Tribolium castaneum: one gene and its partners. The main gene of each other region encodes a partner of the protein of the gene in region 3 in a complex. Links are inferred from orthologs where the notes say so. Each region holds a gene or a part of one and is shown on either strand. Other genes may lie near its edges. The genes, in order: btz, Ref1 and eukaryotic initiation factor 4A-III.

What was found.
Region 1: the proteins of eukaryotic initiation factor 4A-III (region 3) and btz are in contact, whole or in part, in a crystal structure (PDB 2J0U), measured with the Homo sapiens proteins. The link is inferred for Tribolium castaneum from reciprocal best matches to the Homo sapiens genes EIF4A3 and CASC3. Residues at the interface, in NP_055555.1 of Homo sapiens: Thr178, Arg179, Lys198, Ile201, Tyr202, Tyr205, Arg206, Tyr207, Leu208, Pro209, Pro210, Thr212, Lys231, Phe232; in NP_031385.2 of Homo sapiens: Arg217, Trp218, Glu219, His220, Asp221, Lys222, Phe223, Glu225.
Region 2: eukaryotic initiation factor 4A-III (region 3) and Ref1 share a complex: the UniProt entries of both Homo sapiens proteins name them as parts of the ALYREF/THOC4-EJC-RNA complex. The link is inferred for Tribolium castaneum from reciprocal best matches to the Homo sapiens genes EIF4A3 and ALYREF.

The regions. Positions count from the first base shown.
Region 1 is NC_087396.1:15,135,555-15,140,859, forward strand, and holds the start of btz (protein CASC3), read left to right. Parts: upstream 1-1,743; 5' UTR 1,744-1,822; coding exon 1,823-1,882; intron 1,883-2,036; coding exon 2,037-2,326; intron 2,327-2,378; coding exon 2,379-2,582; intron 2,583-2,640; coding exon 2,641-3,314; intron 3,315-5,305. Other genes in the region: uncharacterized protein Arl6, read right to left, coding at 42-234, 282-323. UniProt on the Homo sapiens protein: Required for pre-mRNA splicing as component of the spliceosome. Core component of the splicing-dependent multiprotein exon junction complex (EJC) deposited at splice junctions on mRNAs.
Region 2 is NC_087395.1:19,979,277-19,983,583, reverse strand, and holds Ref1 (THO complex subunit 4), read left to right. Parts: upstream 1-2,004; 5' UTR 2,005-2,116; coding exon 2,117-2,299; intron 2,300-2,404; coding exon 2,405-2,828; intron 2,829-2,903; coding exon 2,904-3,001; 3' UTR 3,002-3,244; downstream 3,245-4,307. Other genes in the region: sedoheptulokinase, read right to left, coding at 15-15. UniProt on the Homo sapiens protein: Functions as an mRNA export adapter; component of the transcription/export (TREX) complex which is thought to couple mRNA transcription, processing and nuclear export, and specifically associates with spliced mRNA and not with unspliced pre-mRNA.
Region 3 is NC_087396.1:14,194,146-14,198,663, forward strand, and holds eukaryotic initiation factor 4A-III, read left to right. Parts: upstream 1-1,744; 5' UTR 1,745-2,032; coding exon 2,033-2,180; intron 2,181-2,232; coding exon 2,233-2,568; intron 2,569-2,622; coding exon 2,623-3,353; 3' UTR 3,354-3,450; downstream 3,451-4,518. Other genes in the region: Sf3b2 (splicing factor 3B subunit 2), read right to left, coding at 3,513-3,578, 3,626-3,923, 3,971-4,215, 4,270-4,518. UniProt on the Homo sapiens protein: ATP-dependent RNA helicase. Involved in pre-mRNA splicing as component of the spliceosome. Core component of the splicing-dependent multiprotein exon junction complex (EJC) deposited at splice junctions on mRNAs.

The DNA of each region.
Region 1 (5,305 bases), about 940 kb from region 3:
TAGAAAACTTTGGAAATAAACATTAGAAATTTTTCTTTTACCCGTGGGATCTGTAAGCTGTCGTTTCATTTTCCAATTGCGAAGCAAAGTGCACAACCGAAAGCATTTTTCTGTTTGCTTCCAGGCCGTTAGAGAATGCCCGTACAGAGCAACCATTACTATGAAAAATGGAACTGCCACAAAAAGTATCAAAATGAGACCCGTTTGAAAGGCAGATCTTTTCGTCCAACATGTCTATAAAACTTGCTAATGACAAATTAAGATCTTTTAAGTTGCTTTACTTTGGGCCGAACACCTTTTGGGTCTTGTGGTATCAAAAACATTCTACGAAATTTGACTTGCTTGTCACTTGGTACGCACTTGTGGTCACTCAAGAAACGGTCACTAGGTGATTAAAAAAAACGAAATTTGTGTGTTCAAAATTTATTAACCATGTCCAAAATCCAGGTTTTGTAAGAATAAACATCAATGTAAAAAACAATCGCATAACTTTCATTTTTTGGGCAAAAAGTCTCCAAATGCATTCCCACCAAGTTGTTACTTTGGTCGATCATTGGAGCATTAACCCTTTTTCCACAAAACTCGTTCCTGCTTGAAATGTAACAAGAAACATGCTTCTGTTTGATGAAACCCGTACAGTCCTCGTGTTGATAAACACGAACATCAAAACTGAGCAATTTGTTGAATTTTTGCCTTTGTGCCAACGGGAGATCCACTCTCCTATCCCAAGTAAAGCTCTGTACAAATCGATCAAGTTTCGCAATTTCAAATGCCTTATCGTCAGTTGCATTAAAATGTAGCAAAACCAAACCAAAATTAGAAAAAATGACATTATTGACCCTTTTTGTCACTCCCCCGAAAGACCACCATGACGACCCTAATCTCAGAACGCCCAAATTTTCAACACAGTCATCAACAGCTAGGGCCCAGTTTCGCGCAATAACACCAACAGCACATTTGAAAAATCCTTCTTTTGCATCAATATATCGCTTTCCGAGAAGAGCGGCAATTGCTGGATTCTCTGATTCCTTACACTTTGCAAGAGTGAAGGTTTGGCTAAGAGAACTAATAGATCTTTTGTTAAGGGCATCAAGTTCAAATTCATATTCTATGTATTCGCGATCGCGTTTGTCGTAAATATTTAGAGTTTTATTTGCTAAATAACAGCATAGAGCGTCACATCTTTCCGAGGCAGGCCCAAAGGCCCCAAAGGCAAACGCTAAGTAAAGCGCGACCATTACCACGAAGAATGGGACTGCTACCATCAAAATAAGGTGAAGAACAGTTTGAAATGAGCTTTTCTACAACAGTTAAGTGGGTTATTGGAACATTTTCTATAAAGTTTTACCATGATTAACGCTAAATTATGTCAAAATTTTTGAATTTTAATTTATTTTTTTTAATTTCACAAGTTGTCTCTGGTGCGATCTATGCAACTAATATAACTCAAATTGTATAAAAAAAATTTTAACTAAAAAACTATAGATGACGTTTCAATCGACTGCTTATATTAGTTTGCGGCCTTTTGGACAATTTTATCAACAAGGGCGTTTTTATTTAAATTTTACTTATAAAAGTATAGGCAACTAGTTATTCAGTTGCCACCAAAAGTTGGTGCTTCTGTGCTTAACCTAACCTCTGAAACCTTGTGACAAGGAGTTGCTAGTTGGCACCAACTTGTTTCTCTCTGTTTCTTTTCCTTTCACGTCGTTCCATTGAGCATGAAAAGGACCAGAAACGAGACGTAAGTCTTGAATTTGTCACTGGCCATCGAATCTTGCCAATCCGGCCAAGATAAAGATATTTGTAAAACAACAAAAAGATGGAAGAAACCGTTGCTGTGCCAGCGACAGCCCCCCAAACGGTGGAAAACATATCACAGGTGAGCCCAATTGCTCCTTACGTTGCTCCTTCGTTCCGGAAAAGAGAAAGATTTGAGAAAAAATTAACAAACCAGGTCACAAGTTCAGAACGAAGTGGAGCACAACCGAGGCGATCTCGCGTGAATTCTTCTCAGTTTAAGAATGATTTTGCAGGAAAAGACACGAATTGACGCTGAGGAGAGCCACAAGTCCCCTAACGAGTCGGAGTATGACAGTGCAGGGAGTTACAGTGATGAAGAGGAGGATAAAGCGAGGTCGAGGAATTCCAGGGAGCACACTGATTCGGAAACTGAAGGCAGTGTAGGGCTGGAGCGGGAATCTGGCGACGGACAGGAGAGTTTGCCTCTCAGGAAGGTGGACGATGATGAGGACAAGAAAAACCCCCAGTACATACCCAAAAGGGGCACTTTTTACGAACACGATGACCGGACAGCTGATGACGAGTGAGTGCGAATAATTACACAGTTCATGTAGTGTGACTGATTAATTGTTTAGGCAAACAGCTGATAATGTAGAATTGGAGAAGGAAAAAGAACAGAAGAAAAAAGTATGGCAGGATAAGAAGGAAAGGTGGAGTCATGATCGTTTTAACGACTCTGAGCAAGCCCCCAAGTCCAGGGCTGAACTTGTGGCCATCTATGGGTACGATATTAGGAACGAGGAAGGTCCCCCTCGAGCTCGAAGGCGCAGACGATACGGGTGAGTTCCCTCACTGTGTTAAAAATCGGTTTAATTTGTTGCGCATGCATTTCCAAAGACGTGGCCCTAACAAGTATACAAGAAACTGGGAAGACGAAGATGCCTACAACAAACCGCCACCTCTTATTCGTAAAAAGAAACCCCTCAGAAAGCCCAATCAAGGCGAAGACTTTCCGCCTCTAAACCGCTCAAGTAATCAAGAAGACCCGCAGGATAGCAGAGATTACGAAGAGAAAACAGACCAGTACCAAGCTGAAACAAACGGTAACACGAAAAATTCAGTATGCGAGTCTCCGCAGTCTCCGCCAGTCCCACCACAAGAATCCAACAGGATGCAGCAACGCGTCGGTTCTGGCCGTGTGGTTAAACCAAAACGCGAAATCAAGGATTCAGATTATAGGGGTTTTACTACAAAAACACGTCAAGTTAGGAATATGAAAACTGATCAAAAAGTCGTCCCGAAATCCTCGAAAAAAGACGATTTTATCCAGTCGCAAAATTTTACAAATAAAAATAACAACATACAAGAGCTAGAAAAGGATTTATCAAAATTGAACGTTCAGGATGGGGTGCATAAAGGGGGTAAACACGGGGGACAGAGACAAGGCAGCGTCCCACCAAGACTCCAATCGGAACAAAAGGGCTCCAAACGGTACAGTTCCATCAGACAGAGGTCGCTTCCAGAGTCGGCAACGCCGCCGTTCTCGCAGCACTCGAATTACTACTCAAATGGTAGGTTCAAATTATAACATCATCACTTAAATTTATTTTCAAGTATACGCACAATACAAATAATTTATGTTATGGTTATGATTTTGCGCTAAATGTTACTGGTCGATTTTGTTTGGTTTTTGATTTTTTTTTACACAAACACAAAGTACAACAGTAAGTGTTAAAAGAAAAAGAAAATATTTTTGGCCATGAAGTAGATTTTAAGTAATAAAGAATGATTATTATTGTTGATGGGAAATTTTTTTCTGAGTATTAGATTTTGATGAGATTTTTTAGTTTTCAGAATTTTTTTCTGAATTAAGTAAAGCAGTGAACGCATTTTAAAAGACTTTCTCCCCTAGAGTCTGAGTGAAAGAATGTACCCTGTAAAATAATATCAAAAATGCTTCTTAACACGGCTGTAAATCATTGCGGAAAATAGCTAAAATGTAATCCTTTTTTGCCCTCTTAATTATAGTCTTGAATATATTTTCTTAGGCAACCAATTCGCAATATATTCCTTTGGACATTACATTTGATAAAAAATAATTTTCATCTGGTAAGTAGATGGGTCCAGGACGACCTTAATTCGGATCTAAACTAGTAAATATTATAATTGATTAGTTTAACTCTGACTAAAACATTTTTGGATTATCATTAGACCCCTCAGTGGTTTGAGGCCACGCTGTACCTACTAAGCGCCCCCTGGCCCTTAATTAACATCAATTTTTCCCAACTGTAAAACTAGAGACAGGATATAGGTAGTTTGAAAGTGTTACAGTACAGTATAGTGAACAAAAAATTTCGGGCACTTAATTAACGGCATTAAAAAAAACGATGTGGTTTAGGCTTAATGAGACGAATGTTTTTAACACGAAGGTTTATGAAGATGAAATGTTGAAGATCTTTGATTTTTTGCTCGCGACGGTACTTACAGGAAACATTTTTTGATAGGTACTTCTGGACCGCGCCAACATTTTTTGGTTGAACAAATGAGCACTTACCACTTTTACGTGTGATTAATTTAGAAATTATGAGTGCAGTCACCATACGCAGTCAGTGTGGGAGCTCTTAACACTTTTGCATAAATCAGCAGCACAGTCTGAAAAACACTACATTGATATTACGTGTTTTATGTGCCTTATGACCCCCTTTAGCATTTTTCAATTACCCAAAACAGTTTCCACAGATTTTTCGTCTTATTTGTTGGATTTTCTCAAATCATTTTCGAAATGTCATCCGTCAAATTTAAAAGAACGTGCGCATGCGCAATAATTTTTAACGTGTGTATTAGCCAAATTCTTTTGTAACTAAAATAAAAAAGTTTTCATTTAATATTTCTTATTTATTTTCTCTCGGTGTTTCAATTTTGCCTCTTTTCATCTAGCAGATCCTCCAGTATTTCATAAAGGGGTAGAATAACATGCGAGGGGACAAAGACAGATTCATTAATACTATTTAATGAATTAGCGTAAAACTAGGCACGTAATAGTGAAAGTTGTAAGCGTTTTGATTGGGCCGTTTGAGGTCGGCCATTAAAATTACGGAGAAAACCAATCATCATAGATTTTTTGATTCATTGAAAAAATTTTTTTTGGATATCATTGGTCCGTTTAAGGTCGGCCATTATAATAATGTGAACAAGCCAATCACTTTGAATTTTTGGATTCATTCAATAATTTAATGTGAACGCCCAGTTTAAATATGAAAGCAGCCAAAAAAATAAATAACAAAAAGAGGTAATTAATTACTAATTAACCAAGACGTTTTGGGTTAATATAAGGTCTATTTTTTTTTATTAAAAATAAAACAAATTATTGCAGCAACAATACCATAACTCATAAAAATCCATAATCTTTTGCAAGTTATATTGTTGTGGTCTATAGGCTCGAATTTAAAAAAAATCACCCTTCTTTATAAATAATTTTAATTTTTGTTATGGTAGTTACTAAGGTACTGACTGCGTCCAGTATTTTAGTACCTATTATTTTGTTGTTTTAGAGAGCTTGTAC
Region 2 (4,307 bases), on a different chromosome or scaffold from region 3:
ATTAGGATACGTACTTACCAGTCTTCAGCCGGCGTCCCCACGACTATTATTAAAACAAACGCCCATTCATAATTGTACCATATTATTCTATTGTACTAAGTGCCAAATATTATTTTTATCGTTGGAGAAATGGTCACGAAGAGATTTTGATTCGTCGGCTGGATAAAACGGCAGTCGACTGCTATTGATTGCCGACACAACTTGCGTCATTTTCGGCGTGACCCTGTTCACGTACGAAATAGAACCACACTCAGTCATAATGTGGTCATAATAAAGTAACATTAACTTAAGTACACTAATTGATACGAGACATCTATTGTTCCTCAAACGAACTAATCCTGAAACGACTTTTCAATAAATTTCTGCCATGTAAACGTGCAGATGATAAATGAGCATAAACAAACCCACGCTCACTTGATCCGATTAATTTTCGAATTTTATGAGTGGACATTGTTTTTGACCTGTACTCTACTCGATATTTTTAGGAGCGGCGTAAAATAATATTTGTTATTAGAAAAAATTCCAAACTGCAAGATTAAACAGTTTCCAATTTTTTTTTATCTAGATTCATCTATCAGAGCGTAAATATAACAATTTTTATTAACTGGTGCATTGTGATAAACTCACCCAGTCATGACATTGACACGTATCAGTGGCCCTCGAGTATACCTACTTACAATAACGGCGATAACAGACTTCCAATTTGATAATGATGATAAATGAAGAAGACAGTTTGTGCACCTGTTTAAAATTAACACGAGTAAAATTAAAAAAACCTCTCAGGATTCAACCGATCCTTTAAATTATTATGCTGAGATCTTTAATCTCAGTGAATGTATTTTTGTATATAACCCAATAAAACTATAAAATCAAAAATATGTTAGGATCATCTGGTGCTTTACAGTTTTCTCTGTGCATGTGATTTTTTTCAGGATTATTCTACAATTCCTTACAATAAATATTAATTAATTAAAAAAATCAATATAATAATTAATTAACTAAATTTATAGTCTTAGGGACTAGTTACTGTACAAAGCCAAATAAAATTTAATTCAGGATTAAACTTCAGTGGTGGAGAACTTACGGATAAAACGAACTAGTTTTCCGTTCATAACGAACTTTTCACAGAATTTTGAGAAATATGTCGGGGTTGATAGTAAGTATTTAATATAATAGAGAAGTGTTAACTGATGAACAAATTATTAACTAACTAAAAATAAATATTTTTTGTGTTTTGACATCTAATTACTGTGTAATTAACTACTTAATCCAAACTTTTATTATTTTTTGGGATATTAGAGGTTGAAACTTTCACTTCAGCGTCTAAAAATTAATCAGAAACGCAATATCAACTAGGAAATTGGGATTGCGTCTTTTGAGTACTTTTCCCAAAGTTTATATGACTAACAGACGGTGATTTGAGCAAACGAGCGTATGCGAGTTACATAATATACACCCGAGAACTTTAAACGTTTTCGCGTGAGTGTTTGTTTTGTTGGAATTTTTAAATTAAATTAATATTTTTTTATTACATTTTTTAAATTTCTTTTAAATTTAAACGTGTTCACATTTGATTTTTTTTACTTTTAATGGATCAAATAAAGAAAGTCTAACATTACACAATATTTCAATTCTGCCAAAGATTCTTCAAACACTAAAATGTGTTAATGAGTCAATATAAATAAACATCTGTTTTGTATTGACAATATTTTAACATACATTAGGTAGAAGAACAAAATTTCATTTACAAATACCTACCTACATAAACTGGTAGAACAAAGTTTGAAAAAAATTGAATGTATAGGGAACCAATAATACAGCGGTGTTTTTACATTGGTGTAAATAGGTTACCTATTTCATAAACATAAAAATAAGTTTTTATTCTTTGTTTCTGTATTATGCTGAAAATGCAAAAAATTGCCTAATACATGCGGTCGTATTTTTTTTTGGTAAAATCCGGGCAGGTTCCTGTGTTGCCGACAGCGCAGTGACGTGGCGCATGCGCACAGCGTCTGTCGTTCATTTTGTACGCCATTTTGTCGTTGGTTGTGTGCGTTGCCGCCGGGTGTAGAAAAAGTGAATTTCTCAGTCAAATCAGCGTACAAAATCAGTAAAAATGGTCGACACAATTGAAATGAGTTTAGATGAGATAATAAAATCCAAGCCCCGGCGCGGCGGCCGTCGCGGAGGTCGCGGCGGAACCCGCGGGGGTGGCGCGCCAAGACGCGGCACGTTCCGAAGAGCCGGCGGCGTCCAAAGGGGCCGAGGACGCGGAGGAATAACGCGCCAGTACACCCGGGTAATTGTTTCTAACTATGTTTATACTTAAGCTGCCCCGCGATGGAAGCGGCTAGCGTGCATCCAGCCGGAGAGCCGGAATTTACCCCCATCCATGTTTGTTTAGGGAGATGTGAACAGTGCTTGGAAGCACGATCTGTTCGAGGGCTACGGCCCGCGTAAAGTGGCCGCGGCTCGGGCCGTTGTGCAGTCCAATGTGGGCCCCACTAAGCTCATGGTGGGCAATTTAGACTTTGCGGTCTCCGACTCGGATATTCAGGAATTGTTCGCCGAGTTTGGGCCGCTAAAGAGCGCCTCGGTGCACTATGACCGCTCGGGGCGGTCGCTCGGCACCGCTGATGTGATTTTCGAAAGGCGCACCGACGCTATTAAGGCCATGAAGCAGTACAACGGAGTGCCTCTCGACGGACGCGCCATGAACATTCAAATCATCACGTCGGAGATTCCGTCGCCGGTCAGGAGGCCCACGGGAGAGAGGAAGTTCCAAAGCAGAAGAGGGGCTGCACCTGCCAAGGGACGACCTAACAGAGGTACAATTACTTGACCAGCGGCGGCGACGCCTCCAACAGCCGGATTTTTCAACTAAACAAATGTTTGTTTGCCAGGTCGTGGAGGAGGACGAAGTTTCAGAAATCAAAAGAAACAACCGACAGCTGAAGAACTCGACGCTGAATTAGACGCCTACACCAAGGAGATGAAATAAAATAAGTGCTATTAATATCAGAGACGCTCAACGCGCCACTTTTTGTGACTTGTGTTTAGTTCTTTCGTATTTTTATTTTGTATTTTGATTGTAACATCGAGCCTTACATTTTATAAAAAATAACCACTAAAGTACGAGGATTACGTATGCGGTTCGTTTTTTCCACAACTAAATCTAGTGTTAGGCTGTTTTCTCTTGTTAATGTAAATTGTATTGATAGGAATAAATAAGAATTAAGTGTGACTTGTCGTTTCATTAGAAATTTTTTTTATTTATACATAAAACTGCATCAGCCAAATGTATCACATGACGTTAAGACCGAGTTGTATAAAAAATTAATCGCCTTCAATCTTGATTTAAAACCATAATAAATCTTGTAACAGTTGTCGCTAAAGGCACGTTGACACGGATCGATTTTAGTCGTTTATTTCAAGTTGAACAATAAAACTTCAACAAAAATCATCGTCAGAATCTTTGTTGTGTCTTAAGTGGATCAAGTTTTTTACGATGATTTCCATTAAAAATTTTCATCTTTAATTGAACAACTAAAGTGGGTCCGTGAGAACTTGCGTTTAGGGTTTATATTACTAAATATACGACAAAACAAATTACAAAAAGTACATCCAATCGAAGCGAGTGCACTCAACGTAATTTTCATCAATAAAGAATACTAAAAGAAAATAATAATTTATTAAGCAACAGTGTAAGATTAATAATTATAGTAACTGAGCTGTCTTGTGGCTGCTTGTAATGTTCACAATTTTGTATCAAAATTAAATTACATTAAGTTTTCTTAGTTCCTATAATTCAACTTTTTTAAATTCGCCTAGTATTTTGTGTGAATATCCTTGTTCCGCATAGTTACCGAATTTAATCTAGTGTAGATATTTATAAACAAAATCTACATGTTCTTAGGGCATTAATCTGATTATAATAAAATGGAAACCACGACACCACTATATATTCCAAACGTGGCCTACAATATGTCCAAAGACTTAATATTTTTGAAACCTTTATTGTTTATTCGTGTAAAATAAATGAGTTCTAACATCTTACGTGCTTGAGCACAAATTGTTTCTATATGTGGAACAAAAAACAATAATAAAATAACGTTGGTGCAAAACTCTTTTTATATTCCTGTATTTTCCGTGTCGCCGGAAGGCTTTGGCTTGAACATATCGAACCACCAATTGACGGAATAAAATAATTAAAAATGGTTTGCTAAAAGTATAAGTGTGGAACTTAAAAACAATAAAAAATAATGAAAATAGTGTTTTGCATTTAGTTGCAACAAGCATAACATTTT
Region 3 (4,518 bases):
TACTTTGACATACCATACTTAGATGTCGCCGCTTACGTTTTTTTTGTTTTTAATTTTTTTATGTAATCTAAAAAATTTAATAAAGATATATTAAAAATTTTATAAAATTTGTGATTTACAAAATGCGTAATATCTTCGTTCCTGTAGAAGATAGAGGGGTGGTTCTGCCCTTTTAAAGCCCCTACCGCCCCGTAGTATTTTTCCTGCGCTATCAAATGGAATAGGTCTCGTTCCTGTATCTCTATCAGAAACCGCAATAGCATTGCACATTTTTAAATCGGTAATCGGAGTACATCACGTAATAGTGCCTCAAAAGTTACGTGTGAATGCAGAATTTCAAGTTGCTACGATAACAGGAAGTGTTTCAAAATTAACTCGTAACATATGATTCCAAATAAATCACATTATTTAAAAGCTTTTAACAAAAAATCTAGTTTTTTATTAGCAGTTTTTATTGAACTTTCTTCCGGATTTATAAATATTTTGAACTTAAATTTGGGAGACTTCCTGTTGTCGTAACAACTTGAAATTTTGCATGTCCACGTAACTTTTGGAGCCCTATTACGTCATGTACTTCGATTCTCGATTAAAAAATGTGCAATGCTATTTCGGTTCCTGATGGAGATACGGGAACAGGACCTAGCCTATTCGATAGCCCAGGAAAAATACTACGGGGCGGTAGGGTTTTCAAAAGGGCAAAACCACCCCTCTATCTCCTACAGGAACGAAGATATTTCGCATTTTGTGAAATACAAGATTTCCTTAAATTTCTATAAAAATTTTGAAATGTGAAAGAAAATTTTAGGTTGTTTACAAAATTTTTATAAAAATTGAAGAAAATCTTGTAATTCACAAAATCTTAAATATCTCCGTTCCTGTAGGAGATAGAGGGGTGGTTCTGCCCTTTTGAAAACCCTACCGCCCCGTAGTATTTTTCCTGGGCTATCGAATGGAATAGGTCCCGTTCCCGTATCTCCATCAGGAACCGAGATAGCATTGCACATCTTTAAATCAACAACCGAAGTACATTACGTAATAGTGCTCCAAAAGTTATGTGTGCATGCAAAATTTCAAGTTGCTACGATAACAGGAAGTGTCTTAAATTTAAGTTCAAAATATTTATAACTCCGAAAGACAAACAAAGCAAGTTGAATAAAAATTCTAATAAAAAACTACAGCTTGTTTGTTCACAGACTTTATTTAATGCGATTTATTTTGAATCATATTTTACGAGTTAATTTTGAGGCACTTCCTGTTGTCGTAGCAACTTCAAATTTTGCATGCACACGTAACTTTTGGAGCACTATTACGTCATGTACTTCGATTCCCGATTAAAAAATGTGCAATGCTATTTCGGTTCCTGATGGAGATACGGGAACGGGACCTAGCCTATTCGATAGCCCAGGAAAAATACTACGGGGCGGTTGGGTTTTCAAAAGGGCAAAACCACCCCTCTATCTTGTACGAGAACGAAGATATTTCGCATTTTGTAAATTACAAATTCTATAAAATTTTTACTAGATCTTTATTACATTTTTTAGATTACACAAAAAAATTAAAACCAAAAAACGTAAGCGGCGACATCTGAGTATGGTAGGTCAAAGTACATGTTTACAGTAATCTAGAAAAAAATTGTGTGCCATCTATGGGTTGCTACAGTAACCTATAAATTGTATTTTTTTAACAGTATGCACAGGCAACCAATTATACAAGACAATCTTGTATATTGCCTACTATTAAGTGGACGCCATATTTTTGTCAAATGTCAAAAAACGCTAAAAGACGTAGCGACTCGCGTGCAAACAACATTAAACGGGCGAAAAAGTGTTTAAAAGTTAGTAAAGGTGAAAAATAAGTGTTTTATTTCTCTCAATACTACAAACAAACCAGTTGGGGACGTGCAAGTGGCCCCAAAAATGCAAACACCTTTGTGAAAGACAGGTGCCCCAAGTGTTGTGCTTCAGTGAACTGGACATTCAATTAAATCATCTAAACTTTACTTTAACACACGTTCTAATTTCTGACGGAGGCAATGGCTGTCGCAAAACCTTCAAACCGCAATGCGGCTTTCGAAGACTTGTCGAACGTTGAGTTCGAAACCAGCGAAGATGTGGAAGTCATCGAGCAATTTAAGAATATGCACCTGAAGGAGGAGCTCCTTCGCGGTGTCTTTGCATATGGTAATAGGAAAATGTGGGTCAGTGCGGCTCGGATTGAGGTCATTGCTTTCAGGTTTTGAGAAACCATCAGCTATCCAACAGAGGGCTATCAAGCCGATAATAAAGGGCCGAGATGTTATCGCTCAAGCCCAGTCAGGTACCGGCAAAACGGCCACATTCTCGATCGCTATTTTGCAGTCGCTTGACTTGCAAACGCGGGAAACCCAAGTACTTTGCTTGTCGCCAACGAGGGAGTTGGCCGTGCAAATCCAGAAAGTTATCCTGGCTTTGGGGGACTTTATGAACGTGCAGTGTCACGCCTGCATTGGTGGGACCAATCTGGGAGAGGATATCAGGAAGCTGGATTATGGGCAACATGTTGTTAGTGGAACACCTGGAAGAGTTTACGGTACTTATAATTATCTTATAAATAATTTCCCCTACCAAAAAACTTAATTTTCAGACATGATCAGACGGCGCGCCCTTAGGACCAGGTCCGTCAAAATGCTGGTTTTGGACGAAGCCGACGAAATGTTAAACAAAGGCTTCAAGGAGCAAATCTACGACGTTTACAGGTTCCTGCCGCCCTCCACTCAAGTCGTGTTGATTTCTGCGACTTTGCCCCACGAGATTTTGGAGATCACGTCGAAGTTCATGACGGACCCGATCCGTATTTTGGTAAAACGTGATGAATTAACTCTTGAAGGCATCAAGCAATTTTTCGTCGCGGTTGAGCGTGAGGAGTGGAAATTTGACACACTTTGTGACTTGTACGATACTTTAACCATCACGCAAGCTGTTATCTTTTGCAACACTAAACGCAAAGTCGATTGGTTGACTGAAAAAATGCGCGAAAACAATTTCACCGTGAGTTCCATGCACGGTGATATGCCCCAGAAGGAGAGAGATAATATTATGAAGGAGTTCAGGTCGGGACAGAGTCGTGTACTTATCACGACCGATGTGTGGGCGAGAGGTATCGACGTCCAGCAAGTCAGTTTGGTCATTAATTACGATTTGCCGAACAACCGTGAGTTGTACATTCACCGTATTGGGCGATCTGGCAGGTTTGGTAGAAAGGGTGTTGCGATTAATTTCGTCAAGTCGGACGATATCAGGATTTTGCGGGATATTGAGCAGTATTATTCCACACAGATTGACGAAATGCCGATGAATGTCGCTGATTTAATTTAAACGAATAACATTTTTTATGTCCTTATATTATGTAAGAAGTTTGTGTAATAATTAATTAATTAATATGGGAAGTAATAAACGACTATGATTTTTCCTACTCCTAATATTTCTCTCGCCAAATTAAAATCAGAATGACAAATATTCATACCAGAAAATGCACTAAAACTTGAATTCTTTGTATTTTTTCGTTTGTTTTGTGTCCTGTTGTTGGCGCTTGCGTTTATTCTAAAACGAAACAATTAGGTAAATCAACAAATTACACAATATGTTACCTTTTGTTTGGCGACGTGCTCAGCTAACATATCACTGAGATCTTCCTTCTGCAGCTGTGACTGGTTTTCCCTCATTTGTTGTTCGTAACGAACCGCCATTGCATCGCTATCCATATCCAACTCAGACGGATCAAGAGCCAACTCAACCATTCCTTCCTTGTCCCCTGGTTTGCGACTAGTTGCAGGGGCTGCGCCCACAGCAGACATGTCGTAAACGTGGCTGCTCCCCATCATGGAACCACCTATTCTCTCATTGCGTTTTTCGGGAATGACATGATACAAAATCGGGTTTTCACCCCTACAAAACAATTTAAAATACCCCCCTAGAGACAAAATAATTCTTACTGTTCCATTTCGCTCTCGATTTTCTTTTTCCTCAATTCTATAGCTTCGGGTGTTTCCATGCCAGTTGGCACGCTTGTGAGACCACTAGGTGTCACCAAGCCCTCAGCTGGAGTAACAAGACCGGATTCGTCAGCGGCGTTTTGTTGGTTGTCTTGGTCTTCCTCCTCTTCCTCATCCTCCTCCTCTGATTCGGACTCGAGCTCGCCCCAGAGGGTGCGATCCACGGAAGGGTCCTCACCAATGTCCTAAACATTGATATTTGAACAAAATTCAATAAAACAATATTATAAAATACTTACATCTATGTTGGTAACATTTGTTCCAAACACATCACCGTACAATGGTTTTCCATTTTCGTCCACCGGTGGTTTTCCCCACCCACCGGCATGGTACCCAAAGGCACAACCATCAGGGATGGGGGCATTTAATCCCGGAATTTTCAAGTTGGGGTAGCTGGGTGGGGGACCATAACGTTGCATTGCAATCAACCATGGTGGGGGTACTTTATTAGCGTTAGGGCCCACAGGCATTCCTAAGGCCGTTCTTAA